4 linked regions of the Lonchura striata genome follow. The protein of the gene in region 3 purifies or fractionates together with the protein of the main gene of each other region. This does not show direct contact. Links are inferred from orthologs where the notes say so. Each region holds a gene or a part of one and is shown on either strand. Other genes may lie near its edges. The genes, in order: IGF1R, LARP4, RACK1 and TNRC6C.

Region 1 (7,992 bases), on a different chromosome or scaffold from region 3:
TTCCTTCCACTATTATGGGGAGAGAGAAGAATATGAAGAGATGTAAAACATCTGCTCTGGAGATCATTTTTCCCCCTAACAGCAAAATTCTTTCAGCAATAACTCGTGAAAACAAAGGCTATTAAACTGTAAACTACAAAGGCAATCGATTAGAGGCAGTATTCAGCTAAGACAAGTTTTTCAGCATATCTTCCCGTATTTAAATGCCTGGATCTTCTTCAGAAGATATTTCATTTGGGATGTTCATTTTAGGTAAGTGGTAACCACAAACACTTCAGAGGACTAGAACCTAAAATCCTGACATACTCTTCCTGCGTTACTTCATTGTTGGGTGAGCATTTTTATTTCAAGGTACTTTGTACCAGGTAAGACAAGGAAAACAATTCTAAGTGTGTATCCTAGCAGTTTAAGGATGCATCAAATCTCCTCCTCCTCCTGTTCTGTTTCTCCACACTACTGGATCCTTTGTAAGCCCTTCCCTGAAGAAGGGCACGGGGGTTTTGTTTTTGAACTTAAAGATTAATCTCCCTTCTTGAAAACAGCTCTAGCCAAAAAGTTCAACTCATGGAAGTAAGACTGCAGCTCTCCAGCCGTAGCTGGCCCAAAAGCCTAGACTGGGCCTTAATTTGCAAGGAGTTAACAGGCATTTACTGCCTAACGAAACATAATTATTACTCAACATGCATTACAGGCTCCGTCTATGTGCTTCTTGCTCACTTATCTTTTTTTGTGTACTTGGCCTCACTGCCAGTGCATCCAAAGAACTTCCCTTTCTTTTCAATCTGAAACCACTACTTGTAGAAAAGCCCTCCTGCCTCCTGAATTCCTTCCCTTTACATTTAAAATGGAGAAATCTGATCTCCTCGTTCCTTCCCTCCAACAGCGCATATCTTTCTGAAAGGGAGAGGCACACAACAGCTCCAGGAGTGTATTGAAAAACACACGGCAGAAGAAATTAAAGCATCAGGATGCAGTACAGGAACATCCCTGTTTCTGCAGACGCTGAAGGAGAGGGAGCACTGTTTAAAATGGTTGGGCTCCAAGGCACATTTACCATCTCCCCGTATACAGAAATACTCCAGGAAGAAAAGGGAAGGCTAATTTCATGCAAGAGATCCTCAATCCAGCGTGAGCCCGACATACCAGGAGAAAACCGATCAGCCCCGGGATTAATCCGGCGATGATTGCAGTGTAATCAATGGCAGCGCAGCCCTCCCTGCCCCCTCGATTCCCCCTGCGCCCGAGAGGGGCGGGCACTGCAACACAATCACAGGTTGGGAACGCACAAAAACAAAGTCGGGGCTCTGGCAGCTCCCGAGCGAGGCGGGCGGGCGCGGGGATGGGCAGAGGCTCCGCGGCAGGAGGGAGCCGATCCACGTTCTCCCGGTGCTCCCGGGGAAGCGGCTCGCACGCTGCTCCAACCTCGGCGCTGGCTGCAACACGGCCGCTTGGAAAAATGCATCCCCCTCAGATCGCAGCCCGTTCCGCCATCAAACCTTTCTATTTACGCACAAACGTCAATGTGCGAATTAATTCCCTTTTTAAAATTAACGGCAGCCCGTGACCTTTAGATTGCGGGATGCCGCCGTAATTCCGCACACAGCGAGTGAAACCCCTCCTCGGCGGTAAAAGGCAAGGCGTTCATTTCCAGGAATTCCTCACTCACTACAGCAGGTTCCTGCATACAGCCTCTAAATATTGACAGAGATCAAGCTCCTTCCATGAGGGGGAAAGCGAGCGGAGTCCTCCCCAGCCCGCGAGTGTTTACTACGCAGCTCGCAGCCCTGGCTGCGGCGCCTGAGCGCTGCCCCGCGCTCGGGGGGGACACAAAGGAGGGGCACGGCCCCCTCCGCCGGGCTCGGGGCTGCGGCGCTGCCGACCCGTGTGTACAGCCAGGCAGCCGCCTCCCGGGGAGGAAGGCGGGCATGGCAGGGAGGGAGACGCGCAGCCCCGGGTTGTTAAACGTGCTGGAGGAGCAGACGCGTAACAGGAGGAAAACACGCAGAGCCCCGCGGGCAGGGGCGAGACCCGCTCGGCGCCGCGGCGGGAAACGGCGGGAGCGCCCCTCACAGCCGCGGGCAGGGAGCCCTCGCACGGGCCCCGGGGCCAACAGGGACCCCCACAAGGACAGGGAGCCCCTCGCACACAGCCCAGACACGCAGGGAAGCCCCTCACGCACACACACGGCGAGGGAGCCCCTCGCACAGGGAACCCCCTCGCACACACGGGGAACCCCTTCGGCAGCCCCCTCTCACACACACACACACCCAGGGAGCCCCTCACGCACACACCCAAACACAGGGAGCCCCTCACGCATCCCCACACACGCAGGGAGCCCCCCCCATCACCAGCCCACTCACACACATTCATACAGGGACCCCCCCTCACATACACGCGCAACACCCACATACACACACACACGTTCACACAGGGACACGCACACACACAAGGGAGCCCCCCACACACAAACACCGGTACCCCTCACGCCCCCCCAAACACGCACAGGCAGCCGCCGCCCTCGCCCCCTCCCCGGCAGCCTGACTCGGGGGCTCCCTCACCGCGGGGTGCCCCGCAGCACCCCCGGGCACGCACTGTACTCACTTTCCCCATTTGTTGGCCACAGACAAAGTGCGGCGAAAACGAGCAGGAACCCCCAGACGACGGCGAGGGACCCTCCTCCAGCGCCAGACTTCATTCCTCTTTCTTTAATTGGACAAAATCCCCCTTTCCGAAAACAAAACAAAGCAAAAAGAAGTCCAAAATTGTTCGCTTTCTTTCCTCTCCCCGTCCTCTAAAAATAACGAGCGGCGGAGGAGCAGCGGGGCAGGGTAAATAAATCCACGTTGCCTCAAGAAATGAAGGAAAAAAAAAAAAAGGAAAAAAAAAAAAAACCACGACCCTTCGGAGCGGCAAACCGGAGGGTTGTTGAGGTCCCTGGGTGTTGATCTTCCGGAGCAAGCACACCAAAAATACACAGATATTCACGATGTATTAACGGCAACAACAAGGCATGGAAGCCCCGGGGCGACGCTGTCTCCGGGGCGGCGGGGCGGGCTCGGGGCGGCGGGCGGGGGGCGCCGCCGTCTCCCCTCAGCGCTGGCTGCGGTGGTACATCGTGCACAGGAGCCGCAAACACGAGGCACATCGGGGCTGGCAGTCGGCATCTTCAACCTCCATTTTCAAACACCGCACACACGCACACACACAGAGACACAAAAACTGGGAGGGCCGCGGAGGGAGGGGAAGGGGGGGGCGCGACCCAGACAATCCTATTACAAAACAACAACAGCTCCGCCGTCCCCCCGCGCGGGGACGGGGCTGCCCCGGCGGGATCCCCGCGGCTCCGCTCCCCGCTCCGCCGGGGAGGGTGGGGGGGACACCCCACGCACAACCACCACCCACAACAACACCGCCGCCGCCACCACGAGTCCGGCTGCCTGCAGAGGCTCGAAATGCAGAATTTGGGTCGAAAATGAATTAAAAAGGCTTCCCCCCCTACTCCTCCTCTTCCTCTCCTCGGCGCGGCTGCCACAAGGTCCTTCTCAAAAAAAAAAAAAAAAAAAAAAAAAAAAGAAGAAGGAAAAAAAAAAGAGAAAAAAAAGCCGAATCCAGGACACACACACAAAGCAGCAGCAGCAGCGGCAGCAGCAGCGGGGCGAGCGGAGCGCTCAGCACCCCGCCTCCTCCCCCCGCAGCTCTCCTCTTCGCATCCCTCCGAGCCGCCTTGCCATCGCGGCGGGGGCGGGGGGGAGGAGGACGACGACAACAACAACAACAACAAAAACCACCCAGCGAATTTGTAAATCCTTTTCCTTTTTTTTTTTTTTTTTTTTTTTTTTTTTTCCTTTCCTCCCTTTCCTCCTCTTTTCCCTCCTCCTCTGGGTGCGCGCGCGCTGCGAACCTTCCCCCGGCGCTGCCCAGCCCAAGGCAGGGGGAGGGGGATCCGGGAGAGGTGTGGGGGTGTGGGTGTGTGTATGTGTGTGAGTGTGAGCAGGGGGGGCTGCGGGGGGCGAGGAAGGCGATCCGGTTTGCTGAAGGTCAAACCCCAGGAGCTTGTTGCGAAGGGTCTGTAATTCCTCCGGGGAGGGAACGGGGCGGGGAGGGAGACCGGGGGGGGGGGGAAGGGTCTGCTGCTCTGCTGCTCCTCCCGATTAATTCGCCGCTTGCTTGCAGCAGGGTTCGCAGCGCTCTGCTGCCGCGTCTGCCCCCCCAATCCTCCTCCTCCTTCTCCTCCGCGCTGCCTCCCTGTGCACGACGGAGAGCGAGCGCTGGTAAACAAGAGCTCGGCGTCGCTCCGCCGGCGCTTCTCCGCTCTGCGGCCGCGCGGGGACGGGGCTTGCGCCCGCCCGCCTTCCCTTCCCTTCCCTTCCCTTCCCTTCCGCGCGCGCTCCCGTTCCCCCCCCCGGCTCCCCCCGCCCAGGCGGCGGCGCCGGCGGCGCGCGCGGAGGCGGCGGCGGCGCGAGCGAGCGCCGAGAAAAACCCGGAGCGGAGCGGAGCCGGACCGGGAGGATGCTGCACCTCGGGATGCTGCGGGGCCGCCGCCGCTCCTGCCTCTGCCCCGGCCTTCCCAAACCGGGAAACGGCAGCAGGAGACCTGGGGGATATGCAGCGAGCATCCTGCGGGGCGGCGGGAGAGCCCACGAGCGAGCCCTGCCAGTGGAAACACTGCTATGTTCCTGACAAATAAATAAATATATTCAATTAAACATATAAAAAAGGCAGGGATGGGATTAGGAGGAAGGAGAAATCCATAGCTGTGATTTTTGCATGGCGTGTTTGTTTATTTATGGCATTTAATGGAAGCTGCTCCTCAGTTTCATACTGAGGACAGGGCCAAGGGCTGAGCCCGGAGCGCTGCTCCCAGGGATGCGGGTCAGGAGCGAGGGACAGGGATGCCAAGGCTTGGCCCAGTGCAGGCGACAAACCACGGTGGAACACGCCCCAAGAGCACGCCCCCATTCACACTCGCCATCCTCTCCTCACACGCTCACCATCCCCATCCAGCCCTCCAGCATTGTCACTCCGTTTCTCAGCTGCTCACTCGTACCCCTCGATGACATTGGGCACCCAGGCCCCAAATGATGGGGACATGGGATGAGTTGGAGCAGAAAAGGTTTGGGCTTTTCAGACTCGGAAGACATGGGCCGTGTTCCCGCTGTTTCGCTGGAGCTCGTAGTAGCCATGCTGTACGGCATATGGGTGTCCTGAGTAATCACAGATTTGTTGCAATACTTTGGCATGGGGAGATAGCAAAATGATGCTGAAGTATAAGAAAGCAGACATCTGTGAGCATTAGCTATATTCTAGGCTGTTGGTTGTTTTTTTTTAAAAAAAGTACATTAAGAAATTCGCAAATGTCACATTATTAATGCAAATGTCAAAATTAAGTTTTTACATTTAAACCTGAATTCTTGAGCATCTTGTATTACAATATCCTTCATTGACACTACCCCATCATTTCCAACAACCTTGTACTGTACGTGTTTTTCTTCTTGTAGTTTTCCCATCCATTCTTCTACTGTTTGCCTTGTGAAAATGGTCCTGTTGTCTGAATTACTCATTAGCTCTTGTACTCCTTAGGAAAGATGGAAATGTTCAATTCTGTGTCACAGAAATTGAAGGGAAGATCCTCACTGAGTACAACAGGGCTAGGATTGCCACATGAGCACACCTATGCAGGACTCTGTCAATAATTCAAGAATAACTCAAAACTATAACCCTCCCGAGATTCCCTGTAGGAAGATCAGACATTTTCACCTGAAACCATCCTGGACTGCCACATGTGTGGTTGGTTGATTTTATCAACCACACACAGGCTCTCATGTCCTCAAATTGAACCAGAGAGATCTTCATGTGCCATAAATTTTTACTGTTGCTGGGTACAGCTGTGGCTGCTACGGGCGCCGGTTCTGAGCAGAACAAGTGTCCTTTCTATGCATGTCATGGCATTGATGCAGCATAAATTGTAACGTCTTATTTGCCAATTAATGTCTTGCTGTGTAAAGACAGAGCTGAAGTGGGAACTGCGTGTCTATCCTTCATCATTCTGCTGTCATAAAGAACTTTTATTTTTGTCAAATAGCCTTTCTTTCGTTACTTTGGTGAATGGGGTGTCATGGACAAGCCCATTGTACTGGGTGATGTACAGGCAGAGAGCAGAAAGATGTGCTGTGCCCCAAAAGAGCTTCCAGTCTCATATAAACACAGCCCTATAGGTGTTGTAACATAGTTTATTTCTGGAATCTTTTGGATTCTTTTAAAAATTTAAAAAAAATATGGTAATAACAGCACATTTTTGAACAGGAGGTGTTTGCAGTGCTCTCCATCCTCCTGAGCTCCTGATGTGAAATTCATAATTTGTAGTTATCTGGCTGGATTCTGTCAGGATGTCTTTATTTTATTCTGTGGAAGTATGCGGGAGGAATCCCTTTTTCTGTGAATGCCCAGGTGCCCATAGCTCTGGTCTCTTAACCTCTTAAGAGGAGAACTGTGCACAATCTTCAGCTTTCCTCATTCTTTTCTGTGTTGAGCAGCTTCCAGTGCCAGCCAGGCACTTGCACATGCTCAGCTTTAGAGCACCCTTTCAATCAGATCTGGCTCTTGTATGTTGGCATATTTCTCCAGGAAGGCTCCTGTTCTTTTCAGTGGATATATTTAAATCAGGATTTTTCAGTGTGTACAACCACACCATGGTTATATCCTTGATGATGAAAACCTCAAGCACACTGTCCCTGTACCATGTGTAAAATTAAAGTTATAATTTGGACAAATTAAAGTTAATTTTCGTAACAAGGTGCTTCACGAGTAAATCATAAAATGGTGTCTCCTCTTCTCTGTCCTATGGGTTCTACAATCATTCCTCCTCTCTGTTTGCACTAGGCTTTTGCTCCCCCTTTGTCCACTGCTGGTTTATGGTCCCCGAGATAGATGGACAGAAAGAAACACCTGGTTACACACACACATTTTACCCTCTAGAGCGTGATGCTGAATGCCACCAGCATACCTGTGTCCTGTTTAAAATACCACTTAAGTGGAAAACTCAGGAAATGTGGCAGTGGGGATGAAACAACGTGGTTAAAACAGCCACTGACCCCGGTCTCTCAAAACATATATCTGCCCAAGGCAAATATCCTCACACTCAGCCATACTTTTGTTTTAACAGCAGCCTCACCACTGCTTTCTGGGGCCACCACTGGGGAGGAAGAGGCCTCATCATTCCCCTGCCTCGGTGCTCGGACTCCATATAGGCTTGACTAGACTTTATTTTGGCTTCTGCAGCACATTCAGGGCAGCCTGACCTCTTTACCAGACGCTTGCTTGTCATAACCTTTATGCATCTGAACATTTTGTATTACCGGCAGAAGGAGCTGCTGAAATTTGTTCTCCTGCCTTCTCCAGCCGTGTCAGCTCCCCGGGATGAAGGTCAGCCATCACAGAGCACTGCCTGAGTCTGCTCCAGGGGCTGCTTTTTGGAATGTCTCTGCAGCTCCTGGCCCCTGCCGTGGGCCAGCAGCTGAGAGCACCCACTGCAGCCACCTCGCCTGCCCCAGGAGCTGCTGGTGCTGCCAGCTCACCTTGTTCAGCCTCTGCTCCAGGCTGAACGCTCTCCTTGCGGGGAGGTGCGGGTAGGTAAGAGTTCCAGGTGGGAATTGTGCCTGGGTGAGTGATACATCTCTTACACAGCCTGGGGAGTGGGTTTTGTACACCTGAAAGGCAAACAGAAATCCTTGGAATTCACTCTTTCCCCCCCTCCAAATCTCCCCTTATAAAAAGCATTTTATGGACTCATAACAAGCCAGGCAAAATGTGGGTTGCCCCTTTCTACCACGTTTTTCACTTTTTGCCAGTTTTTGCTCTGTATTGAGTCACACCCTGTACCAATGACCTTCACAGGCTCCCGACTGCAGGAGGATGCTCAGTCTCCTCCCTGCAAGGGGACAGGAGCGCAGCACACCTCAGATGGATGCTGGCTGGGCAGGTTGAAATTATTAA
Region 2 (6,944 bases), on a different chromosome or scaffold from region 3:
TCCACGAGCTGACAAAGCTCTCCTCAGCACAGCTTCCCCGCTCGCTCACACTGCTTCCAGCAAATGTGGATCCAAGATTCTCCTCCAGCAACTCCTAAAAATGGGTTATTGAAGAAAATTCTCATTCTGAAACATGGCAAAGGGTATTTTTCTTATTGTAATTACATCTAAATTACACTTAACCAGATTAAATGAAGCTAACAAAAATGCAGGCACTCAAAGAGTTTTAAAGCATTCAATTTTAATATTAACTCTAACTGTTCTGCAACCAAAATCCTAACCCAGAGCTTGTGACAGATTTCCTAGAGTAGACAAACTCTCTTAAACAGAAAACAAAGCAAAAAATCCAGAAGAGAATTTAACCAAACTTGTGAGGGGAGAAACGAACCCTTTTCCAGAAATGGAAACGTAAGCAGATGGAAAAACCCCAAGGTCAGCAAAGCCACGGGAGGCAGCTGAGAGAAGCCTTGTGCTGGCTGGGGGACAGGCAGGTAGGGAGCCTGAGGGGCTCCGAGCACCTTTTCTGAGGGCAGTCACCATCACCTCCTGGGGCTGAATCAGACTCAGAGGCTGGATGAGGAGAAGTTGGTGTCAAAGCAGCACAAAGAACTCCTCCAGAGCTGCTGGCAGGTTTCAGGTAACAGCTCAGTGCTCTGCTAACTCCCAACCTCACCGTAACTGCAGTGGTCACAGGAACATCCCTCCCAGCAGGAGCTGCAGGGTTTTCCACTGAGGAGCCACCCCTTGGAAAAGCCAAGACACAGCTGTGCTGTCTGCAGGTGGTACCTGGGTCAGAGGAGTGTGAACAGGGGAATGTGGGGTCACAGGGAGCCTCACCTGCTCGAGAGGGCCAACAACGCTCACAGTCCTGGATTTCTAACCAGGAAACATCATGGGCAGCATTTCACCCACCTGAAACGCACAGATTCCCATTTCCTCAATAAATTACAAATATATGGAATTAGGAGCACATAGCCATCTGAGTGCAGCCCATTATCAATTCCATTTCTCTCAATGTATTTATTAATATTCCAAATGCACCTAATTATTAATTGTTAACAGCACACAGGTCCTGGCTTAGAGGAGGAAAAAAGCCCTGCCCCAAACATAAATGTACGAAATAGCACAAGCCTTATACAGCCATCACTGCAGAGATTTGGAGCTAAAGGATGTTGAAAGAAACCCAACTCCCCCTCATGCACTGTGAAGGACTTGGCACAATCACCAAGTTTAAAACACTGACAGCTACAGCAACTGAAGCAATCCCCCTGAAAACCTCGGGACTTCCACCTGTCCTGTGCTTTATTTTCCAGGCATCCCCAAAGATCCCCAGATAAAGCTGCTATCTGCTCCCAAGCATCCAACTGCAGCACTCCAGGATAGCTAGCTCAGAGCTCCAGTTCTCTGTCCTGGCAGTGAAAAGAAACCTTCAGAAAATCCATATGATCGTCAGGAACTCATAATTAAATATTACTGAGGCTTCCAGAATGAAGATCACAGAAACTCCCAACGCTATCAGAGAAAGACCAGAGTTGAGTTTGTGCTTTAGGCCACCCTAAACTTCCCAAATGCTGATGAGCTCCAGCTCCCATCCACACCAGCAGCAGCCATGTGCTCCCTGATATGCTCCAGCTCCCGTCCCCATCTCCATCCCTGCATTCCAGAAGCCGCCTCGTGTGCGGGGCCTCTCTGGGATGAGGCAGCTGCTCGTGCCTCCCAGCAGCCTCAGCAGTTCCTCTTCCAGCAGAACCTGCAACCCCCAATTCTCCAGGCCTGTCACGGTGCTCGGAACAACTTTTAATCCTCCCCGCGAAGCCGAGGAACATCCAGCTCAGAACTGAGGTGATTCACTTAAGAAAGAGATCGTGTCTCCCAAACTGCTTTATTTAGGGGCTCCTAACCACGGAGCACATGTTGGTGTTTGTGTGCGAGCCCACCAGCACTATCTCACCGTCACCCGAACAAAACCCAGAGCAGAACCCCCAGAGCTGAACCTAGAGCAGAACCCTCCGAACAAAACCCCAGAGAAGAACCTCCCGAGCTGAGCCCAGAGCAGAACCCAGAGCAGAATCCCCCCGAGCCGAACCCACAGCAGAATCCCCCCGAACTGAACCCAGAGCAGAACCCCCTGGACAAAACCCCAGAGCAGAATCCCCCCTGAACAAAACCCCCGAGCCGAACCCCCCGAGCCGAGCCCTCCCGTGCAGACACAGCCCAGCGCCCGCCCGGTTCCCTCCGTGACTCCCCCGGCCCCGGCAGCTCCTTGCTCCGCGCACGTTTTGGGACAAAACTCGGTGCAAAGTTTACAGCGGCCACCCGGGTTCGCTCAGCGAAGGTTAAAACCGCTTCACCGAGCCCGTGAAACGCCGCGAGCAGCTGAAAGCCCATCCCGGGCCACAGCGGACGCGGCGCCCGCCCTCCCCGGTGACCTCCAGGGCCGGGCCGGGCCGCGCTCCTCGTCCCGCCCGGACCCGGCGCGCCGGAGAACGGCAGAACCCGCGCCGCTTCCCGCGCCGCAAACCACCGCCAGCGTTTAATTAACGCAATTAACGAGGCGCCGCGCTCGCGGCCGGCCTCGCGGGGCCGCCCCGCGTGTGCAGAGGCCGGGCCGGGCCCGCTGCTGCGAGGCCTCGGGGAGGCCCCGCGTGTCCCGCGTCACCTTCACGGCCGGGCCGCGGCCGCCCCCGAAGGTCACGGCGGCGCCTCCGCCGCCCCCCGCCCCGGCCGAACCTCCCAGAGCGCCCCCCGAGCCTCCCCGAAACCCACCCGCCCGCCCGCGGCCGCCACCGCCGGATCTGCTGTGTCAGCCCCGTCCCCTCCCCCGGCGCGGCGTGCGCGGCCTCCCGCCGCCTCCTCCTCCTCCTCCTCCCGCCACATGGCGCGGCGCCGCCACCTCACCTCCACGAACAGCAGCATCGTGCCGCCGCGGCCGGCGGGCCCGCGCTCCCCGCTGCTGCCCGGAGCGGCGATCGGGACACGCGGGCTCCGCCTCCGGCCCGTCCCGCCCGCCGCCGCCGCCGCCGCCGCCGCCTCTTCCGGGCGCCCCGAGCGCGTCCGGGGCACGGCCGGCACGCACCATTCCAGCGCGGAGGGGGGTGCGGCCGCCGCGCCGCGCGGCTCCGCCAGAGGGCGCGGTGGCTGCAGCGGCGCGCGGGAAGCGGCGTCCCCCGCGGACGGAGTGGAAGGGGCCGTGAGCCGCCTTGTGGAGAATTCACGAATTTGGGTTTTTTGGGTGTTTTTTTGTTTTGTTTTGTTTTTTTGTTTGTTTGTTTGTTTGTTTTGTTTTGTTTTTTGTTTTTTCTTTTTTGGGTTTTGGTTGGTTGGTTGTTTTTTTTTTTTCCTAATTAAAGAGCTCATAATGCTTTATGCTTCCTGTGAAAAACGCTAATCGCTTGGTTTTTAAAATTTTTCAAAATTTAATAATAATATAATGGTTATAAAAATGGTATTACAATGAGAGTAATAAAATTTAGAGTTAGGACAATTACACGACAATAAAAAGCAAAGAATTACGGACGTCCAGATGCTCTCAGACACTAAGTCATGAAAAAACATACCTTGTGAACAAAGGAATAACCTTAAAAGCAACAGCCTGTTGCATATTCATATATCTCATACATGATGTACAAATTCCTTGCAAATTAAGAACTCTTCACAAGATACACGACTTGGTGCATTTCAACCCCCCCTCCCCACCCAGACCCATGGTAGCAGCAGGAATGATGCTCTGAGGGGAAAACACGCCTTGAAACCGCTTTGCTTTAGTGAAAAACCCACAAAATGTGTTACAGAGCATTGAGGTGTAATTTGCTGGTTTTGGTAAGAGAATTAAAACACTCTGGTGTGAGTGGAGGATGGAGATTCCAGCCCTCAGGTTGCCATGAATCAGTGCCCTGGGAGGGACAATTGTAAATGCAGGTGAACCCAATGGGAGGAAATGATGATGTCGGGCTCAATTCAGAAGGCTGAATTATTTCTTTATTATAACTATGCTAAAATACATCAATATACTATATAAAAGGAAGATACTAAAACTACAAACTACTTTCTCTAACACAACTGGTGACCCTCTCTCGAGTCCAGCCCCAGGTGGGTTGGATTGGCCACCAGGCTCAAACAATCCTCACCAGAATCCAATCAAGCAATCACCCCAGGTAAACAATTCTCCAAACACATTCCACACAGGAAAAACAAGGAGCAGAAATAGAAATTGTTTTCTCTTTCATTTCTCTCTGTGCACCTCTATGAAAATCCTGAGAGGGAGAGAAACGTGCTTGCCACAAGGGACCCCACCAACGCCATCACCTGCAATTAGGGCTGGGCAGATCCGCGTGGATAAGTCGGAGCCAGGGAATAATCAGGGTCCACTGAGGAGATTAAACACCGAGCACAAGCTGCCCTGCAAACACAGCCCAGCTGCCAGGCCCTTGGCTGTTCCCTGGGGAGCAGCTCCAAGACGTGGAGAAGTGAAAGAAAAAGAAACAGAAGTGAAATAAATAAAGTTGGAGCAGGAGAAACGGGAGGGGACGGCTCGCACACTGCAGAATTTTGGAATCCTCTCGCTGTCAAGAGGTGCCTGACCTCAGTCCCCAGGGACAGCACGGGAGCAGCCCCTGTCAGATCTGTGTTTGTCACATCAGACACTGGTCTCTGTTCCTGGGAGCGGGGACAGGAGCCAAGGGAGCAGCTCGAGCTGTGTCAGGGGGGGTTAGGTTGGGTATCAGGAGAGGTTCTTCCCCCTGAGGGGTGTCAGGCATTGAAAAGGTTCCCCAGGAATGGTCAGAGGCCCCCGAGGCTGCCAGAGCTCCAGGAGCGTTTCAACAACGCTCCCAGGCACAGGGTGGGATTGTTGGGGTGTCTGTGCAGGGCCAGCTGCCAGCCTGATGATCCCTGTGGGTCCCTTCCAGTTCGGGATATGCCATAATTCCATGATGTAGTGAGACCTCACAGGTCCATTGAGAGTGAGAACTTCTTCTTCTTCATCCCCTTCCCTGGTGAGAAGCCATCAGACTGAGCTCTTGTCCTCTCCGAAGCACTTTGCAACCATTAACTCCTTCATCCTCACACCCCTGGGAAGGGTAAGCATGGCCCTTGGCTCACAAACCTCCTGAGCCCCAAAGCTGCTCCTTCATTTTGAGTGTGCCCAAATGGATTTCCCAAAGCAACGGAGGGATTGCAGCATGGAACATTTCTTAGCCCCATTTCCAGACCTGCTGAGCACCTGAGATCCACAGGAGCTGAGGACTCCTGGAGCCAGGCTTTGCTGGGATGTAAATTACCACTAATGCTCAGATTGGCGCATTTCCCAGCAGTTCTTCTGCCCATTCCATGGAAACCCCCGGCTGGTAAAGGCTCAGAGTCAGCAGGACACTCCCAGCTCAGGAACACTCCCAGCCTCGCTGGCTGGGGTGGAAAACCAGGCCTGGTGCATAGAGTGAGAGAAGAATTCCTGCAGGGTGACAACAATTCCGTGTCAGCCAAGGGAGAAACATGGGAGTGACACCACCCAAGCCAGGACACGACCAGGTCCTGTTGTCACCTGCTGGGAGGTGAAACAACCAGTTCTCTGTTTGTACCCGGGCAGGTTCTTTGCTGTGAGTCAGCAGCTGTCACTGAGGCACGGGCAGCTCCCCCGAGCCCATCCAGGGCAGCCCAGCAGCTCCCAAAGCCTTCTCCCAGCAGCTGGGTTTGGAATAATCACGGCAGGAACAATCGTTCCTCCTGCCCAGGGTGTTCCAGAGCGAGCTGGTGGACACAAATGAGACAAATCCCAGGCTGAGAACAAGCAAAGGGAAGGAAAGAAGCTCCTTTCCTGCAGCAGCCCCCACCCAGCTCCATGAAATCAGAATATGGAGCCATTTCTTTCTTGTTATAGTCAGATTATCTGATGTGAGCCCATGCCAGTAAAAACTGGGATTTCCTGTCACCAACCTCTCTCTGCTCTATTGACTTTTCCTTGCTTCAGGCATACCTCATGGATTTATTCCTCATTCCCCAGCTGGATTCAAGGGCATCTCCCCTGCTCCTCTAGAGCAGGAGCATCCCAGCACTCAGGATGGGGCAGGAGGAATGTGAGGACCATGACACAGAGACCTGAGCAGCAACAGAGCCAGCAAGGACACCGCTGCTTTTGCAAGAGGAAACTCCACCTCAGGGGAGAGCAGAGGGCACCAGGAATTTGGCCTTAGGAAGCCAGGAGTGAATGTTAAAACCACAAGGAGAAGGAGGAGCAGTGCTAGGAGAGATTTATGGCTCCTGGGTGTGAGCTGGGACCTCCCACTGGCAGTCCTGAGGTCTGGGCTCTCCCTTGCAGTGCAAAGTGCTGCTCCTTCCACAACTGTGCTGAAATAAGGAGCCACCTTCCCTTTTCCTGGTGTTCCACTGTGTGGAATGGGTGCTCACTTCTGTCCCAGCTGAGTACAAAAACCAGAAGCAAGGCAGGGATTGTTTATTGCCCCTGACTCTGATGAGCTCCCTGCACAGCAGATTTATCTGCTGGTTACCTGAGGGGTCCAAGCCAGTCCCTGGCTCGGGGGTGATGTTCTGTCCCTGCTCCCCACATCTTGCCCAGTGCCTGCAGAGCTGATGCCAACATGGCTCAACCACCTCTCGGCCCCAGTGTTTTGTCCAGATGTGCTAAATTTGCTTCCCACACCTCTGCTGCCACCCCCACTATCAGCAGGGAATAAATATTTTTAGACACAGAATAAATGGTGAGCTGGCTTCGCTATCTCTGCCTCAGCTCCTGCTGCCTCCTGCCAGGCAGCCAGGGAGCTCCAGCACCGTGGCAGAGCCTGCAGGATTGCAGGGTGTTCCCACCACGGGGCTCTGCAGATGCTGCCAAGGCCTCCTTGGTGGCTCCGACACAAAAGGCTGGGCTCAGCAGCTGCTGGAAACATCTGGCTTTAATTCTTCCTTAAAGCCACGACTTTCATTTGGCCACC
Region 3 (7,579 bases):
GAGTTCGGTTCCATAAATGATGGTCTTCTTGTCTGGGACACCCCAAAATTTTGCCCAAAATTGGGCTGCTCCCCCGAAATGTTCTCCCATCATCATTGCAGGACGTGTCGTCAGATCCCGTGGGATCGGATGGAGACGTCAGGTCTAATCATCGGGAGAGGGGCGAGCAGCTCGAAAATCCCAAATTCCGACCCAAAAATTTGGGATTTACCCAAATTTTGGGATGATCTGACGCTGGTGAGACCCAAAACCCCTGGTGGGACCCCAAAACCCACGTGGTGAGATCCCAGAGGAGAAAGGATGGTGGACACCTCAATCCCACCCCAAAAATCCCAAATTTCCCCAACTTTTGGGACAACCTGACCCTGGTGGGACCCCAAAACCCACGTGGTGAGATCCCAGAGAAGAAAGGATGGTGGACACCTCAAACCTTCTCAATCCCACCCCAAAAATTCAGGATTTACCCAAATTCTGACCCTGGTGGGACCCCAAAACCCACGTAGTGAGATCCCAGAGAAGAAAGGATGGTGGACACCTCAAACCTTCTCAATCCCACCCCAAAAATTCGGGATTTACCCAAATTCTGACCCTGGTGGGACCCCAAAACCTTCTCTAAAGACCCCCAAATTTTAGGTGGAACCCCAAAACGGACGTGGTGAGGTCCCAGAGGCGCAGGGTCCCGTCCCAGGAGCCTGAGAGCGCAAACTGCCCGTCCGAGGAGATGACCACGTCGCTGACGAAGTGCGAGTGGCCGCGCAGCGCCCGCTGCGGGATCCCGTAGTTGGTCTCATCGCGCGTCAGCTTCCACATGATGATGGTCTTGTCTGGGGTGGGGACAAGCGGGGGGTGTCACCTCCATGGATATCCTTGGTTCTTGGTGGGTTTGGGGTCATCCTTGGTGGGTTTGGGGTGGTTCTTGGTGGGTTTGGGTCATTCTTGGTGGGTTTGGGGTGGCTCTTGGTGGGTTTGGGGTGGTTTTGGGTCATCCTTGTTGGATTTGGGTCATTCTTGGTGGGTTTGAGGTGGTTCTTGGTGGGTTTGGGTCATTCTTGGTGGGTTTGGGTCATTCTTGGTGGGTTTGAGGTCGTTCTTGGTGGGTTTGGGTCATTCTTGGTGGGTTTGGGTCATTCTTGGTGGGTTTTAGGTGCTTCTTGGTGGGTTTGGGGTCATCTTTGGTGGGTTTGGGTCATTTTTGGTGGGTTTGGGGTGGTTTTGGGTCATCCTTGGTAGGTTTGAGGTGGTTCTTGGTGGGTTTGGATCATTCTTGGTGGGTTTGGGTCATTCTTGGTGGGTTTGGGCCATTCTTGGTGGGTTTGGGGTCCCCCACCCGTGGGTGCCCCCAGCCCCATTTCCCCTATGGGTGCCCCCAGCCCCATTTCCCCCATGGGTGCCCCCAGCCCCATTTCACCCCATCTCCCACCCATTTCACCCATGGGTGCCCCCAGCCCCATTTCCCCCGTGGGTGCCCCCAGCCCCATTTCACCCCATCTCCCACCCATTTCACCCATGGGTGCCCCCAGCCCCATTTCCCCTGTAGGTGCCCCCAGCCCCATTTCCCCTGTAGGTGCCCCCAGCCCCATTTCACCCATGGGTGCCCCCAGCCCCATTTCCCCTATGGGTGCCCCCAGCCCCATTTCCCCCGTGGGTGCCCCCAGCCCCATTTCCCCTATGGGTGCCCCCAGCCCCATTTCCCCTATGGGTGCCCCCAGCCCCATTTCCCCCGTGGGTGCCCCCAGCCCCATTTCACCCATGGGTGCCCCCAGCCCCATTTCCCCCGTGGGTGCCCCCAGCCCCATTTCCCCTGTAGGTGCCCCCAGCCCCATTTCCCCCATCTCCCACCCATTTCCCCCGTGGGTGCCCCCAGCCCCATTTCCCCCGTGGGTGCCCCCAGCCCCATTTCCCCTGTAGGTGCCCCCAGCCCCATTTCACCCATGGGTGCCCCCAGCCCCATTTCCCCTATGGGTGCCCCCAGCCCCATTTCCCCCGTGGGTGCCCCCAGCCCCATTTCCCCTATGGGTGCCCCCAGCCCCATTTCCCCTATGGGTGCCCCCAGCCCCATTTCCCCCGTGGGTGCCCCCAGCCCCATTTCACCCATGGGTGCCCCCAGCCCCATTTCCCCCGTGGGTGCCCCCAGCCCCATTTCCCCTGTAGGTGCCCCCAGCCCCATTTCCCCCATCTCCCACCCATTTCCCCCGTGGGTGCCCCCAGCCCCATTTCCCCCGTGGGTGCCCCCAGCCCCATTTCCCCTGTAGGTGCCCCCAGCCCCATTTCCCCCGTGGGTGCCCCCAGCCCCATTTCCCCCGTGGGTGCCCCCAGCCCCATTTCCCCCATGGGTGCCCCCAGCCCCATTTCCCCCGTGGGTGCCCCCAGCCCTATTTCACCCCATCTCCCACCCATTTCACCCATGGGTGCCCCCAGCCCCATTTCACCTATGGGTGCCCCCAGCCCCATTTCCCCTGCAGGTGCCCCCAGCCCCATTTCCCCTGTAGGTGCCCCCAGCCCCATTTCCCCTATGGGTGCCCCCAGCCCCAATTCCCCTATGGGTGCCCCCAGCCCCATTTCCCCCGTGGGTGCCCCCAGCCCCATTTCCCCCCCATCTCCCACCCCCCAATTTCCCCTATGGGTGCCCCCAGCCCCATTTCACCCATGGGTCCCCCCCATTTCCCCTATGGGTGCCCCCAGCCCCATTTCACCCATGGGTCCCCCCCATTTCCCCTGTAGGTGCCCCCAGCCCCATTTCCCCCGTGGGTGCCCCCCCCCCCCTCCATCCCCATGGCCGCCCTCACCGCGCGACGCCGACAGGATCATGTCCGGGAACTGCGGCGTGGTGGCGATCTGCGTCACCCAACCATTGTGGCCCTTCAGGGTCCCCCGCAGGGTCATCTGCTCCGTCATGGCGGCGCCGATGGAGGCGGCGGCGCCGAGGATGGCGGCGGATTCGCGGCGGGTTCGCGGCGGCCTCGGCGCGCAGCCCTCCGTCCCCTCAGGCGGCGGCGGGGAGAAAGAGGAGGCGCCGCTTCCGGGAGAAGCGGAAGTGACGTCAGTTCCGTACGGAATGATGGCGGCCGGTATGGGGGGAGTAAGGAGGCGGCGCCATTTTGGTGTACGGAAAATGGAGGCGGGGATTTGGGGGGGGTCTCGGGGAAGGTTCCAGGAGGCCCAAAAAATCACAGGGAGCCCCAAAATATCTCAGAGACCCCAAAAATCCAGGGAGCCCCAAAAAATCCCATGGAGCCCCAAAATATCTCAGGGATCCCCCAAAAAATCACAGGGAGCCCCAAAAATGATCCCAGGGAGCCCCAAAAAATCCAGGGACCCCCAAAAAATCAGAGGGAGTCCCAAAATATCCCATGGAGTCCCAAAATATCTCATGGAGCCCCAAAATATCCAAGTGACCCCCAAAAAATCCAGAGAGCCCCAAAAAATCCCATGGAGCCCCAAAATATCTCAGGGACCCCCAAAAGATCCCAGGGAGCTCCAAAAAATGATCCCAGGGACCCCCAAAAAATCTCAGGGACCCCCAAAAATCCCAGGGACCCCCCCAAAAATTACAGGGAGCCCCAAAAAATCCAGGGACCCCCAAAAAATTACAGGGACCCACAAATTTTGGGCTCCTCCCCTCCCCAAATTTTGGGCCCCACCCCCCCAAATTTTGAGCCCCACCCCCCCAATTTTTGGGCCCTCCCCCCCAAATTTTGGGCCCCTCCCCACCAAATTTTGGGCCCCTCCCCACCAAATTTTGGGCCCCTTCCCCCCAAATTTTGGGTCCCGCCCCCCCAAATTTTGGGCCCCGCCCCCCCAAATTTTGGGCCCCGCCCCCCGGGTTAATTTTGGGATCGGCTCCGGTTCCAGCCGGGCTCGGCGGCCTCGGGGCCTGCGGGGCCCCAAAATCCGCCCCAAAATCGAACCCCAAAATTGACCCGGCCGGTGAGTGACCCCCAAAATCCCCCAAAAACCCCAAAAATCCAAAAAATCCCCCCCAAAACCCCCCAAAAATCCCCCCCGAAATACCAAAAAATCCCCCAAAACCCCCAAAAATTCCCACCAAAAAATTCCCAAAATCTGCCCCGGGCACCCCAAAATTGAACCCCAAAATTGTCCCGGCTGGTGAGTGACCCCCAAAATCCCCGGGGGACCCCAAAATCCCAAAAAATTCCCCCAAAATCTGCCCCAAAATCCCCAAAAGTCCCCCCGAAATCCCAAAAATCCCCCAAAATCCCAAAATTCGGCCAAAAAATCCCAAAATCTGCCCCGGGCACCCCAAAATTGAACCCCAAAATTGTCCCGGTCAGTGAGTGACCCCCAAAATCCCCCAAAAACCCCAAAATCCAAAAAAATCCCCCCAAAATCCCGCCAAAATCCCAAAAATCCCCCAAAATCCCAAAATTCGGCCAAAAACCCCAAAATTCGCCCCGGGCACCCCAAAATTGAACCCCAAAATTGTCCCGGTCAGTGAGTGACCCCCAAAATCCCCCAAAAATCCCAAAATCCTAAAAAATCCCCCCAAAATCCCCCCCGAAATCCCAAAAATCCCCCAAAATCCCAAAATTCGGCCAAAAACCCCAAAATTCGCCCCGGGCACCCCAAAATTGAACCCCAAAATTGTCCCGGTCAGTGAGTGAACCCCAAAATCCCCCAAAAAACCCAAAATCCAAAAAAATCCCCCCAAAACCCCCCCGAAATCCCTAAAATCCCCCCAAAACCCCAAAATATTCCCAACCCCCCCCAAATCCCCCAAAATCCAAAAAATTCCCCCCAAAAAACCCAAAAATTCCCCAAAACCACTAAAAATCCCCCCAAAAATGTCAAAAACCCTCCCCAAAACCCCAAAATCCCCAAAAACCCCCAAATTCCCCCAAAATCCCAAAATTCCCCCCCAAAAAACCCCCAAAATCCCCTCGAAATCCCAAAAAATCCCCCAAACCCCCCAAAATCCCCCCAAAATTCCAAAAATACCCAAAAGCCCCAAAAATCTCCCCAAAAATCCCCAAAATTTTGCCCCAAAATCCCAAAAATTCCCCCCAAAAAACCCCCAAAAATCTCCCCAAAAATCCCAAAAATTTTGCCCCAATTCTGCCCGAAAAGATTTTATTTTATTTTATTTTATTTTATTTTATTTTATTTTATTTTATTTTATTTTATTTAAATATACCCAAAATTCCCAAATTTTCCTGGAAAATTCTTCCACCCCCCCCAAAATTCCGAATTTTTTTCCTTTCCAGGAGCAGCGACGAGATGGAACCGGGTGGGTAAAAAATCCAAATTTTTCCCAAATTTTTCCCAAATTTTTCACCCCAAAAATTCCAAATTTTCCCCCAAATTTTTCACCCCAAAAATTCCAAATTTTCCTATAATTTTAGGTGAATTTTCCCAAATTTTTCACCTCAAAAATTCCAAATTTTCCTAAAATTTTAGGTGAATTTTCCCAAATTTTTCACCTCAAAAATTCCAAATTTTCCTAAAATTTTAGGTGAATTTTCCCAAATTTTTCACCTCAAAAATTCCAAATTTTCCTCAATTTTTGGGTGAATTTTCCCACATTTTTCACCCAAAAAATCCCAAATTTTCCTCAAATTTTGGGGTGAATTTTCCCTATTTTTCACCCAAAAAATCCAAATTTAAGGAAAATTTGATTCAATTCCCAGAATTTTCCCAAACTGACCCAAATTTTCCCTTTTTTTCCTCTTTTCCAGGAGAAAATTCCGCTCTGGGTGAGTGAAATTTGTGGTTTTATTCCCTTTTTTTTTTGCTCTTTTATTTCAAATTTATTCCCAATTTTTCCCACTTTATCCCCATTTTATTCCCATTTTTTCCCAAATTTATTCCCCAATTTTATTCCCATTTTTTCCCCATTTTTCCCCAAATTTTTCCCCAAATTTTTCCCCACTTACTCTTTGACATTTTAAATATTAATTTTAATATTTATTAATTACTAATTTTGCTATTTACTAATTTCAGTATTTATTATTTATTAATTTTGCTATTTATTAATTTTAATGTTTATTACTTATTTTGCTATTAATTATTTTTTAATATTGATTATTTCTTATTTTTATATTTACTATTTTTAATATTTATAATTTTATATTTTTGCTATTTATTAATTTGAACATTTATTATTTACTAATTTTCTTATTCATTATTTCTAATATTCTTTATTTCCCCAGATTATTAATATAATATAATATAATATAATATAATATAATATAATATAATATAATATAATATAATATAATATAATATAATATAATATAATATAATTAATATAATTAATATAATTTTAATTTAATTTAATTTATTCTAATTTAATTTAATTTAATGTAAGTTTAATTTTAATTAGTTTAATTTAATTAATTTCATTTATTTTCTGTTTTTCAGGTGACTCCAGCACCAAACTGAGTCAGTCCAACCAAAAATCTTCATTTTTGCGGCCGATTTTGGGGGGAAAAATCCCAATTTTGGGCCCGGATGCTCCGAGACCACCCAAAAAATCCCAAAAAAGGAAAAAATTTGGAAATAATTTGAATTTTCTTTCTTTTTTTCCCCTTTTTTCCCAGAGGAACGCGAGCGGAAAATCAGTGAGTGCCCATTTTTGGGGGAAAAAATGCAAATTTTGGGTAAATAAAATTACAAATTTTGGGGTAAAAAAATCCTGATTTTGGGTAAAAAAAAAATCCAAGTTTTATGGTAAAAAATTCAAATTTTGGGGTAAAAAAAATCCAAATTTTTGGGTAAAAAATTTGAAATTTTTGGGTTAAAAAAATTCCAATTTTTGGGTTAAAAAATCCAAATTTTCAGTTTAAAAAAAAATCCCAATTTTGGGTTGAAAACTCCAAATTTTTGGTCAAAAAAAAATCCGAATTTTGGGGTAAAAAATCCAAATTTTGGGTAAAAAAGACCTCAAAATTTTGAGGTTAAAAAAATCCAAATTTTCGGTTTAAAAAAATCAATATTTTGGGTTAAAAAATCCAAATTTTTGTGTTAAAAAAAATTCCAAATTTTGGGTTAAAAAATCCAAATTTTCAGTTCAAAAAAAAATGTAAATTTTGGGTTAAAAAATCCAAATTTTGGGGTAAAAAATGCTCTTTTTTTTTTTCTCCACAGCCAAACTTGCTGCTGAAATCCGTGAGTTTTTGGATGATTTTGGGTTAAAAAATCTGAATTTTGTGTAAAAAAATTTGTAATTTTGGGTTAAAAAATGGTAATTTTGAGTTAAAAGTGTGAATTTTGGTTTAAAAAAATCTGAATTTTTGGGTCAAAATTTCTCAATTTTGGGTTAAAAAATCGTAATTTTGAGTTTAAATTCTGAATTTTGGGTTAGAAATTCTGATTTTTGGGTTAAAAAACCAGAATTTTGGGTCCGTTCTGGAGATTTTTGGGATAAATTTGGATTTTTTTCGTCTCGCAGGGAGACTGACGGCGCTGCTGGGTACGGACAGAACGCGTTAATTAAAATTAAAATCCTTAATTAACCAATTTCATTTAAATTTTCATTTCCATTTTCAATTCAATTCTAATTTTAATTTTAATTTTAATTTTAATTTTAATTTTAATTTTAATTCTCCTTTTAATTTTAATT
Region 4 (7,555 bases), on a different chromosome or scaffold from region 3:
CTATAGCTTTTTTTTTTTTTCCCACAGACTGCGAGTCTCGGGCTCGGAAGCAGCCAGGTTAGGTTATCCACCAGCAAGGCTTCTGCAATCCCAGCCAAAAAGCACCACAGTGCTCCCCAGAGCAGCTTCCTCACTGGGGTATCCAGGGCTGACACTGATGTTTTCACGTCTGGAAAGAATTCCAGAAGCCACAGCATCCGGGGGCTGTTGCTCAGCACACCATTTTGAGCTCACAAATAACACACAGGAGCAGGCAGGCAGACATCCCAGGGATTCCTGAACCCCAGGAACAGGGCTGCAGCAAGGAAATTCCGTGATATGCTAAGCACAGGTTGCACCCACTGCAAGTCACCTCCTATTTCCTTGGAAAACACCAGGGGAAGCAGTGAGAACCCGTGTGTACCTTCCCACTGCCTTCTCGAAATTATTATTTTTAAAAAATGTAATATCCGAGAGGAAACTCCTTTTAAATGCTCAGTCGTCGGGGAATCCAAAGGAAAAAAAAAAACCCAAAAAAAAGCCCAAAAAACCCCACCCACCGCCGGGAAGGAGGGCAGGATTTGGAAGCCATGCCTGGCTCTCCCAGCGCATCCAGCAGCAGTGCAGATGTTCTCCTGGTCCTCCGCTCTGGCATTGTCCTCAGGTCCACAGCACCACCGACACCCACCTGATTTAAAGCTCTGCACCACTAACAGCGGGATTTATTGGAATTTTAATTACCTTAACCGGCCTAATGTCCACAGCAAATTTCTGTACATAAATTAGCATAATTCGCCAGATACATACATATGCAAACGAGAAGGGAAAATATGCAACAGACACGGGTATGACGTCCCAAAGATTATTTCTAAATTTAAACTGGCTGTTAGAATAATTGAATAAATCTCTTCTCGCAGATACACTCGAGTTGTAGCAGAAAATAAACTAGTCACAAAGACCTGCAGTATTATTTTTAATGGGAAAAGAGGGGGGAAACCCAATTGAGTTCAATAAATCCCATAATTGAACCTTCAACTAATTACATATTAAGAAGATTAACCTTTGACACAAACTTGTGATACAAACAAAGAAGCCTCGAACAATTAATAAACTTCCAGCGTTTCAAGATTTCTCAGGTTAACAACTGAGCCCTTCCCATTTTCCTCCCCTCCTGCGTCGCAGTTAAAGGAATAAACTCAGTTTAATATTCTCTCTCCCCCTGGACATTCCAGGTTTAGACGAAGATCTCTCTGTGGATACTCAGGAGAAAATGACTGCGGATCCTCACAATCTCATTAGGCGGAGGGGGAAAAGAGGAAAAATAAACCAAAGCTGAACATTTTAACTTTTTAAGAGAAAGCAGCCATGAAGGACAAAGCTGGAGCTCATGTGCTCGCCCACAGGGCAGCACTGCTGGCCATGCCCACAATTTCCCAGCCCTGGGATCATTTCCAAGCCGCTCTGCGATAATTTTCACACGTGTAAGTTCTAAAAAGCAAGAGCACACGGTCGTGCCTTGCAGCAGAAGCTGCCTTCGTGTCATGTCTGAATGGCACAACATGCTCACAAATGGCACTTTCTGCTCGCTCTTCGTGGCCAAACAGCGATTCCGGACAGAGGAAAAATACCGAATTAATTCTACCATTAAAAAAAAATCCGGAGGTTGTTCGCGTTTTTTTAAAAATCGTATAAAAATAAAAGGGATTTTGAAATGTTTGGGGGTGTTCCTTGCTTCGCTGACTAATAAACAATTTAAAAATAATAATAATAATCTAGTTTAGATTTGTGAAAAAGGAGGAATGCACAGGTTTTGCAGGTCTCTTCCCCTGCTAACTTCTATCGTGCCCAGATTAAGAAAGGCTCTTACCCGTTCTTACCTTTTAGTCTTTTCTTTATGGGGCTCTTTGGCAGCTTTCGATTCAGTCTTGCTGTAAGGAAACAAGTGAGTATTTTGTCTACCGTGTAGGGGTCTTTCTGACGTGTTCCTTTCTTATCTTTAATGCTTCTCTTTTTTTTTTTAATTTTTTGTAAATGTACCCGTAATTTCACGAATATGAATACGAAAAAAATCTCACACGGCCAAAAAAAATAAGTTTTTTGTTGTTGTCGTCGTTTGTTTACCCCCCTCAGGGAAAAAAAAAAAGTCTGCCACACAGGAGATGAAAAAAAAACCCCAGCAGATCAACAGGAAAACACTATCCAAGTAGAAAAGCAAGGAGCTTCAGTGTTATCCAGCCCAGAGGAGAAGTGCAGCAAAAGCAGGTCCAATTCCAAAACAAGCTTTTGATTTCCAGTGAAGCAAAATAAAAAAATAAGAAAAAACAACAAAAAATAACCAAGACCAAGAAACCAAGACAAAATACACGTTCAAGTCCCCAGCTAAATTTCTGCACGAGTGTGTCTTAAATACAAGTTTGCTTTCATGTGTTGCAGCAAAACCCACGGAAAGCCAGGATTTGGAGTTGATCGGGATGAGTTCTGGTGTGTGTGTCTTGATGGGTTCTCAGTCCACATGGAGGAGCATCTGAGGGTTTTTCAAAAAGTGCAAATCAAAAAAAGAGAAACCGGGATCCAGAAAAAGAGTTTTAAGATGGATCCCCCCTTCAAAATAAAAGGAGGAGGGTGGTGGTGGTGGAAAAAAAAAAAAAGCAAAAAGCCTCAAAGAGCAGGGCGGGAGGCACGGGGGGATGCGGAGCCTGGCATGGGGCTGCGGGCAGGAGGAGGATCCAGCGCTGTCCCCGCCGGGGGAGGAGGGTCCGCGGCTCCGCAGGGACCCCGCGGGCGATCCGGGCCGGGAGGAGGATCCAGCAGCCGCTCCCGCAGGAAGCGGCGAGCGCGGGGAGGGGGGACCCGGGGAGGAGGATCCAGCAAAGTCTTTTCACGGAGGGAGGAGGGAGCGGGGACTCGCAGCGGGCTCCGCGGGCAGGCGGGAGGGGGGCGATGCCGCGGCTCTCTCCGTGTCCTCCGCAGGGATCCGGCTGGGCAGCGGGGCGGCGTGTCCCCGGGGAGCCGCAGCAGCGCCTCGGGCAGGCTCGGTCGGTCCGCCGGGATGCAGAAGGGGGAGGGGGTGGTGGGGGGGGAACGCAGCGCCGCTCGCCGTCTCTCTCTCTCTCTCTCCCGCTCGCTCTCGCCTCGCAAAGGGCAGGCGGGTGCCGGGCTCAGTGCTGCCGGGACGATCCCCCGCTCCTCCGCGCCGCCGGTGCCGCCCTGGGGAGGCGAGGAGCCGCCGCTGCCGCCGCCGCTGCTGCTGCCGCCGCCGCGGCCATTTTGTCGCTGACTGACAGAGCCCCGCCAGGCAGCGCGAGACCGCGGGGCGGCTCCGCGCGCGCGCGCCCCCTTCCCGCGCCGGCCGCCAACGGCAGCTGGCGCGCGCTGCCCCCCCCGCCCCGCCCCCGGCCCCGCCCCCGGCCCGGCCCTCCGCCCCACGTGACGCGGATGCAAATGAGCGCGCCGGCCGCGGCCAAACGGGCGGCGAGGCCGACGCCTATGCAAATGAGCGCGCGCGCGCGCCGCGGGCCACGCCCCCCACCGCCTCCCTCCGCGCCGAGGCGCGCGCCCTCCCGCCACCGCCGCGCGCCCAGCCCGCGCCCCGCGGGGGGAGGGGGCGGAGAGCTCGGTCCTCCCCCCCAAAAAAAAATCAAAGGGGGACCCCCACACGGGAAAATGGGGGTCAAATCAAAGGGTACGGGGGGGAAAATCAAAGGGGTACACGGGGGTCACCCCCACCCGTGGGTGTCAAATCAAAGGGGTACGGGGGGACCCCCACACGGGAAAGTGGGGGTCAAATAACAGGGGTACAGGGGGTGTCAAATCAAAGGGGTGCAGGGAGGGTCACTCTCACCCGGGAAAGTGGGGGTCAAAGGGGTACAGAGATGTCACCCCCACCCGTGGGTGTCAAATCAAAGGGGTACGGGGAGATCAAATCAATGGGGTACAGGGATGTCACCCTCACCCGTGGGTGTCAAATCAAAGGGGTACAGCGGGGGTCACCCACACCCGGGAAAGTGGGTGTCAAATCAAAGGGGTACGGGGGGACCCACACCCGGGAAAGTGGGGGTCAAAGGGGTACAGTGATGTCACCACCACCCGTGGGTGTCAAATCAAAGGGGTACAGCGGGGGTCACCCACACCCGGGAAAGTGGGTGTCAAATCAAAGGGGTACGGGGGGGACACCCCCCATACAGGAAAGTGGATGTCAAATCAAAGGGGTACGGGGGGGACACCCCCCATACAGGAAAGTGGATGTCAAATCAAAGGGGTACGGGGGGGACACCCCCCATACAGGAAAGTGGGTGTCAAATCAAAGGGGTACAGGGAGGTCACCCCCACCCGTGGGTGTCAAATCAAAGGGGTACAGGGATGTCATCCCCACCCGGGAAACGGCATCAGTGCTTTCTCACACACACAGCGGTGGAAAAGGGGGTTAAACACATTCCTGCTGCACCCCGAGCTGCCGGGAGCCCCCCTCTTTGTGCCAGCTGTGAGCGCACACCTGCAGGGACACCCCTGGGTGACACTCCCGGGGTACCCATGCAGGGCTCTCGGCCCTCGGAGGGGATCCCCGTTCTACCCAGGCGCCTCCAAAAACAATCCCGGTGTTTGAAACGCGCCCGTGGCTGAGCAAGCCCGGGGAGCTGCGCAGGTCGGGGAGGGGAGATGGAAATGTCACATTTCAGAGTGGCAGCGGCTGGCTTGTCCCCCACAACAACCACATTAGCTGCTTCTGTCAGGAGAAAGTCAGGAGCTGGTCTCAAAATACCGCGGGAAGAGCGGAATGCAAAAAATTAGTCTTTTTTTTTTTCTTTGCTAAAAATTGTTGTGTCTGGGTCTTTCCAGCAGATCTCCGGTTTTCTCTCCTCTCCTGTTTCCTCTCCCCACTTCTGCAGCGAACGTTTTGGGAAGTGCAAGGAAATCCAGAGCGTGGATTTTTATCCGCTGGGGCTGTTCCGCTGAAATCTGAGCGGAGCAGGGCTCACCGGGCAGGGCTGGTGATGCTGCCGGGGACTGGCACCCGCAGCGGGGCATTCGAGGGGACAGAAGCACGGTCCCGGTACGATTCCCGCTGGAATTTGTGATGCCAGCCCCAAAGCCACCCTGTGCCAGCCTCTGGGCAAACGACACCAGGAGCCCGGAGCCCCTTGACCACTGGAGGGAGCCCATATTGTGCCAGAATGCAACAGAAATACTGTGGGGAAGACAAAAAAAAAAAAGAAAAAAAAAGCCACTAAAATATGAAATATCAGATCATTGTAGTCAGAACAAAGTGTCTTCTCCAGGTCAGACCATGATCTATAGCAATGCAAAATGTTATAAAAATCAGATTTAAATGTCCCATTGTATTTCATCAGCACAAAGAAGAGAAAGAATTATTAAGAAGAAGGCTCTTTTTTTTTTTTTTTTTTTTTTTCCCCATATTTTGAATGTCAGTCTGGCACCTTTCACCGGGAATGAATTCATACGCCAGGATGGTGACAGACCTGGCTTGGAGGGAAAATGCCCTTGTGTCATCCCAAGGGCCAGCTGAGCTTCCCCTCACTCTCCTTACTTAAATGTAGGTCAGCACCTATAGACTCCTTCCAAACCCACCCCGGAGCTGCAGCAGCTTTCCAAGGGGATTTTCCACTGCTGCTTTCCAAGGAGATTTTTTGCTCTCCTGATCAGCCAGCCACTCCAAGAAGCAGAACAGAAGAAGCCACATGCCATGCTTATGGCACTACAAGCACCTACAGGAGGCTGCCCTGCACCAAAACCTCTGCTTGGCAATTGTGCCAAGGAATGTTCCTGGTCTCCTATGTTACATGTTGTGAACGTTGAAATATTTGTAATTCAAAACACATTTTTGCCACACAAATATTTCTGGCTTTGCAGAGTGGTGCCAAGTTGCTGGAGACCCTGAAATGTCAAAATGGAATAAAACTGAAAGTGATTTGTGTACTAATCTCTTTTCTTGGCCCTGGAGAAATTACTATCAAAAGCATGCTATAACCACAGCCCCACAGACACAGAAAGCCTGTTGTGTTTGTCACCCCTGTCCCAAAATACTGTCTTTAACAGATAAAAACACATTCTACTAAACTTTTCCTGTCTTACCTGAGCTTTTTTACCATTGAACACAGGGCTTTATCCAATGTAATTTTTATTTTTCCCCCTGCTTTGGTCTCCCACTGGGGTTTTGCCCTCCCACTCCCCTGGTTGTTCTCCTTGGGGGCTCGCACAGATCCTCAGCATCATCTGAGGCTCTGTCACCTGGTGTCAGCAGCTGGTGGCTGCTGTCACCACGCATGGTGCATCTGTCCCCTCATTGCCCTGAGCTGACAGCACCCTGGCAGGGCACGGGCTTCTCCTTGAGCTGTGTTCTTCCAGAGCTGCTCCAGCACAGAACCAGGGCTCCAGGCAGCTGCTGCTGCCTTGGAAGGCTCTCCTGCCCCCAGTGCTCAGGTAGTGGCTTTTGTCACATGTGAGTAAGAGCAGATGTGAGCTGGTGTGAAGGGGAGGCAGAGGGACAGATGATGCCAGCGCATGAGTGCTCCCAGAGCAGGAGGAATTCCAGTGCTGCCTCGTAAACCTCCACTAACCCAGTCTGTCAGGGAAAAGCTGTGACCAAAGTGTCCCCAGGGTGTGTTAGGTGGGTGGCTTTGAGCACAAAGAGCCAGGCACTCACACAGATGCAGCGTTTGCTCTGCTGAGAGTGACAAAGCCCAGCTAAGCAAAGGTCTTCCCACGTTTAGGGCTGTGTTGGGTGGCTCAACCACACCCAGGCAAAATATTCCTCCAGCGTAGATTTTAGAGATGTCTCTTGCTTGGTTTTGTATCATCCAACCAAGCACAGAATTGTCACCAAGCACTCCTTGCACTTCTTACCCAGCAATAACAAGCACACAAAAAATTAAAGTCAAAGCCCTGCTCCAGTGACAAAAACAACAACCCCATTCCTTAAGGAGAATCCAGTCTCTGATGCTGAACAGGATTTCCCAGAGCCCACACAAAGTGAAGCTACAGCTCCAAGGCTCTCCCTTTCCTGAGGTGATGCTCAGAGGTTGGATGGGCAGGATCACTCAGGATCCAGGACACCACAGGCTCTTCTCAAGTTTTCCAAGGAAAATATGAATGTGCAAGCCATTTGTACAAAGTCCCTCTGAAGGGTGCATCCACATCCCTCCTGGCCACCCAACCACAAATGGTGTCTTTAGGGTGAGCACTTAAATAGAATCATAGAATTGCTAAATTGGAAAAGACCTCAAAGGTCTTTGATTCAACCATTCATGAACTGTACTGAACTTGTACATAACTTTTTATTGGAAAAACTCACTTTCACAACTTACATCTCTTTCCCCACATTTTCTTCCCACTTGCTTGGACCATGCCCTGCTGTGACACCTCCACATCGGAGTGGTTGTGCCCAGCTATGAAATGTCCTCTCCATGGCACTGGCCCAAAGCAGAAAGGGCTCCTGAAAAAAAAACCTGATACCCCATGTTCCTCCTGATGCCTTGCAAAAACATTTCACATCAGCAAACCCACTGTGGTGATCATCATCACAGGAGTCTGGCAGTTCACCTTTTACCCTGCACTGGAT

The links.
Region 1: the proteins of RACK1 (region 3) and IGF1R purify together in Homo sapiens (affinity purification with western blotting; 4 studies listed by BioGRID, with this or other methods). This does not show direct contact. The link is inferred for Lonchura striata from reciprocal best matches to the Homo sapiens genes RACK1 and IGF1R.
Region 2: the proteins of RACK1 (region 3) and LARP4 purify together in Homo sapiens (affinity purification with mass spectrometry; 3 studies listed by BioGRID and IntAct, counting the BioPlex papers as one, with this or other methods). This does not show direct contact. The link is inferred for Lonchura striata from reciprocal best matches to the Homo sapiens genes RACK1 and LARP4.
Region 4: the proteins of RACK1 (region 3) and TNRC6C purify together in Homo sapiens (affinity purification with mass spectrometry; 3 studies listed by BioGRID and IntAct, counting the BioPlex papers as one, with this or other methods). This does not show direct contact. The link is inferred for Lonchura striata from reciprocal best matches to the Homo sapiens genes RACK1 and TNRC6C.

The regions. Positions count from the first base shown.
Region 1 is NC_134613.1:20,974,191-20,982,182, forward strand, and holds the start of IGF1R (insulin-like growth factor 1 receptor), read right to left. Parts: upstream 3,008-7,992; 5' UTR 2,696-3,007; coding exon 2,602-2,695; intron 1-2,601. UniProt on the Homo sapiens protein: Receptor tyrosine kinase which mediates actions of insulin-like growth factor 1 (IGF1). Binds IGF1 with high affinity and IGF2 and insulin (INS) with a lower affinity. The activated IGF1R is involved in cell growth and survival control.
Region 2 is NC_134629.1:8,867,757-8,874,700, reverse strand, and holds the start of LARP4 (la-related protein 4), read right to left. Parts: upstream 3,012-6,944; 5' UTR 2,917-3,011; coding exon of another isoform or gene 2,899-2,916; intron 1-2,898. UniProt on the Homo sapiens protein: RNA binding protein that binds to the poly-A tract of mRNA molecules. Associates with the 40S ribosomal subunit and with polysomes. Plays a role in the regulation of mRNA translation.
Region 3 is NC_134631.1:304,616-312,194, reverse strand, and holds the start of RACK1 (small ribosomal subunit protein RACK1), read right to left. Parts: upstream 3,008-7,579; 5' UTR 2,896-3,007; coding exon 2,787-2,895; intron 825-2,786; coding exon 653-824; intron 1-652. Other genes in the region: uncharacterized protein LOC144247616, read left to right, coding at 5,236-5,245, 6,558-6,578, 7,105-7,125, 7,409-7,429. UniProt on the Homo sapiens protein: Scaffolding protein involved in the recruitment, assembly and/or regulation of a variety of signaling molecules. Interacts with a wide variety of proteins and plays a role in many cellular processes.
Region 4 is NC_134621.1:3,508,445-3,515,999, reverse strand, and holds the start of TNRC6C (trinucleotide repeat-containing gene 6C protein), read right to left. Parts: upstream 3,010-7,555; 5' UTR 1,857-3,009; intron 1-1,856. UniProt on the Homo sapiens protein: Plays a role in RNA-mediated gene silencing by micro-RNAs (miRNAs). Required for miRNA-dependent translational repression of complementary mRNAs by argonaute family proteins.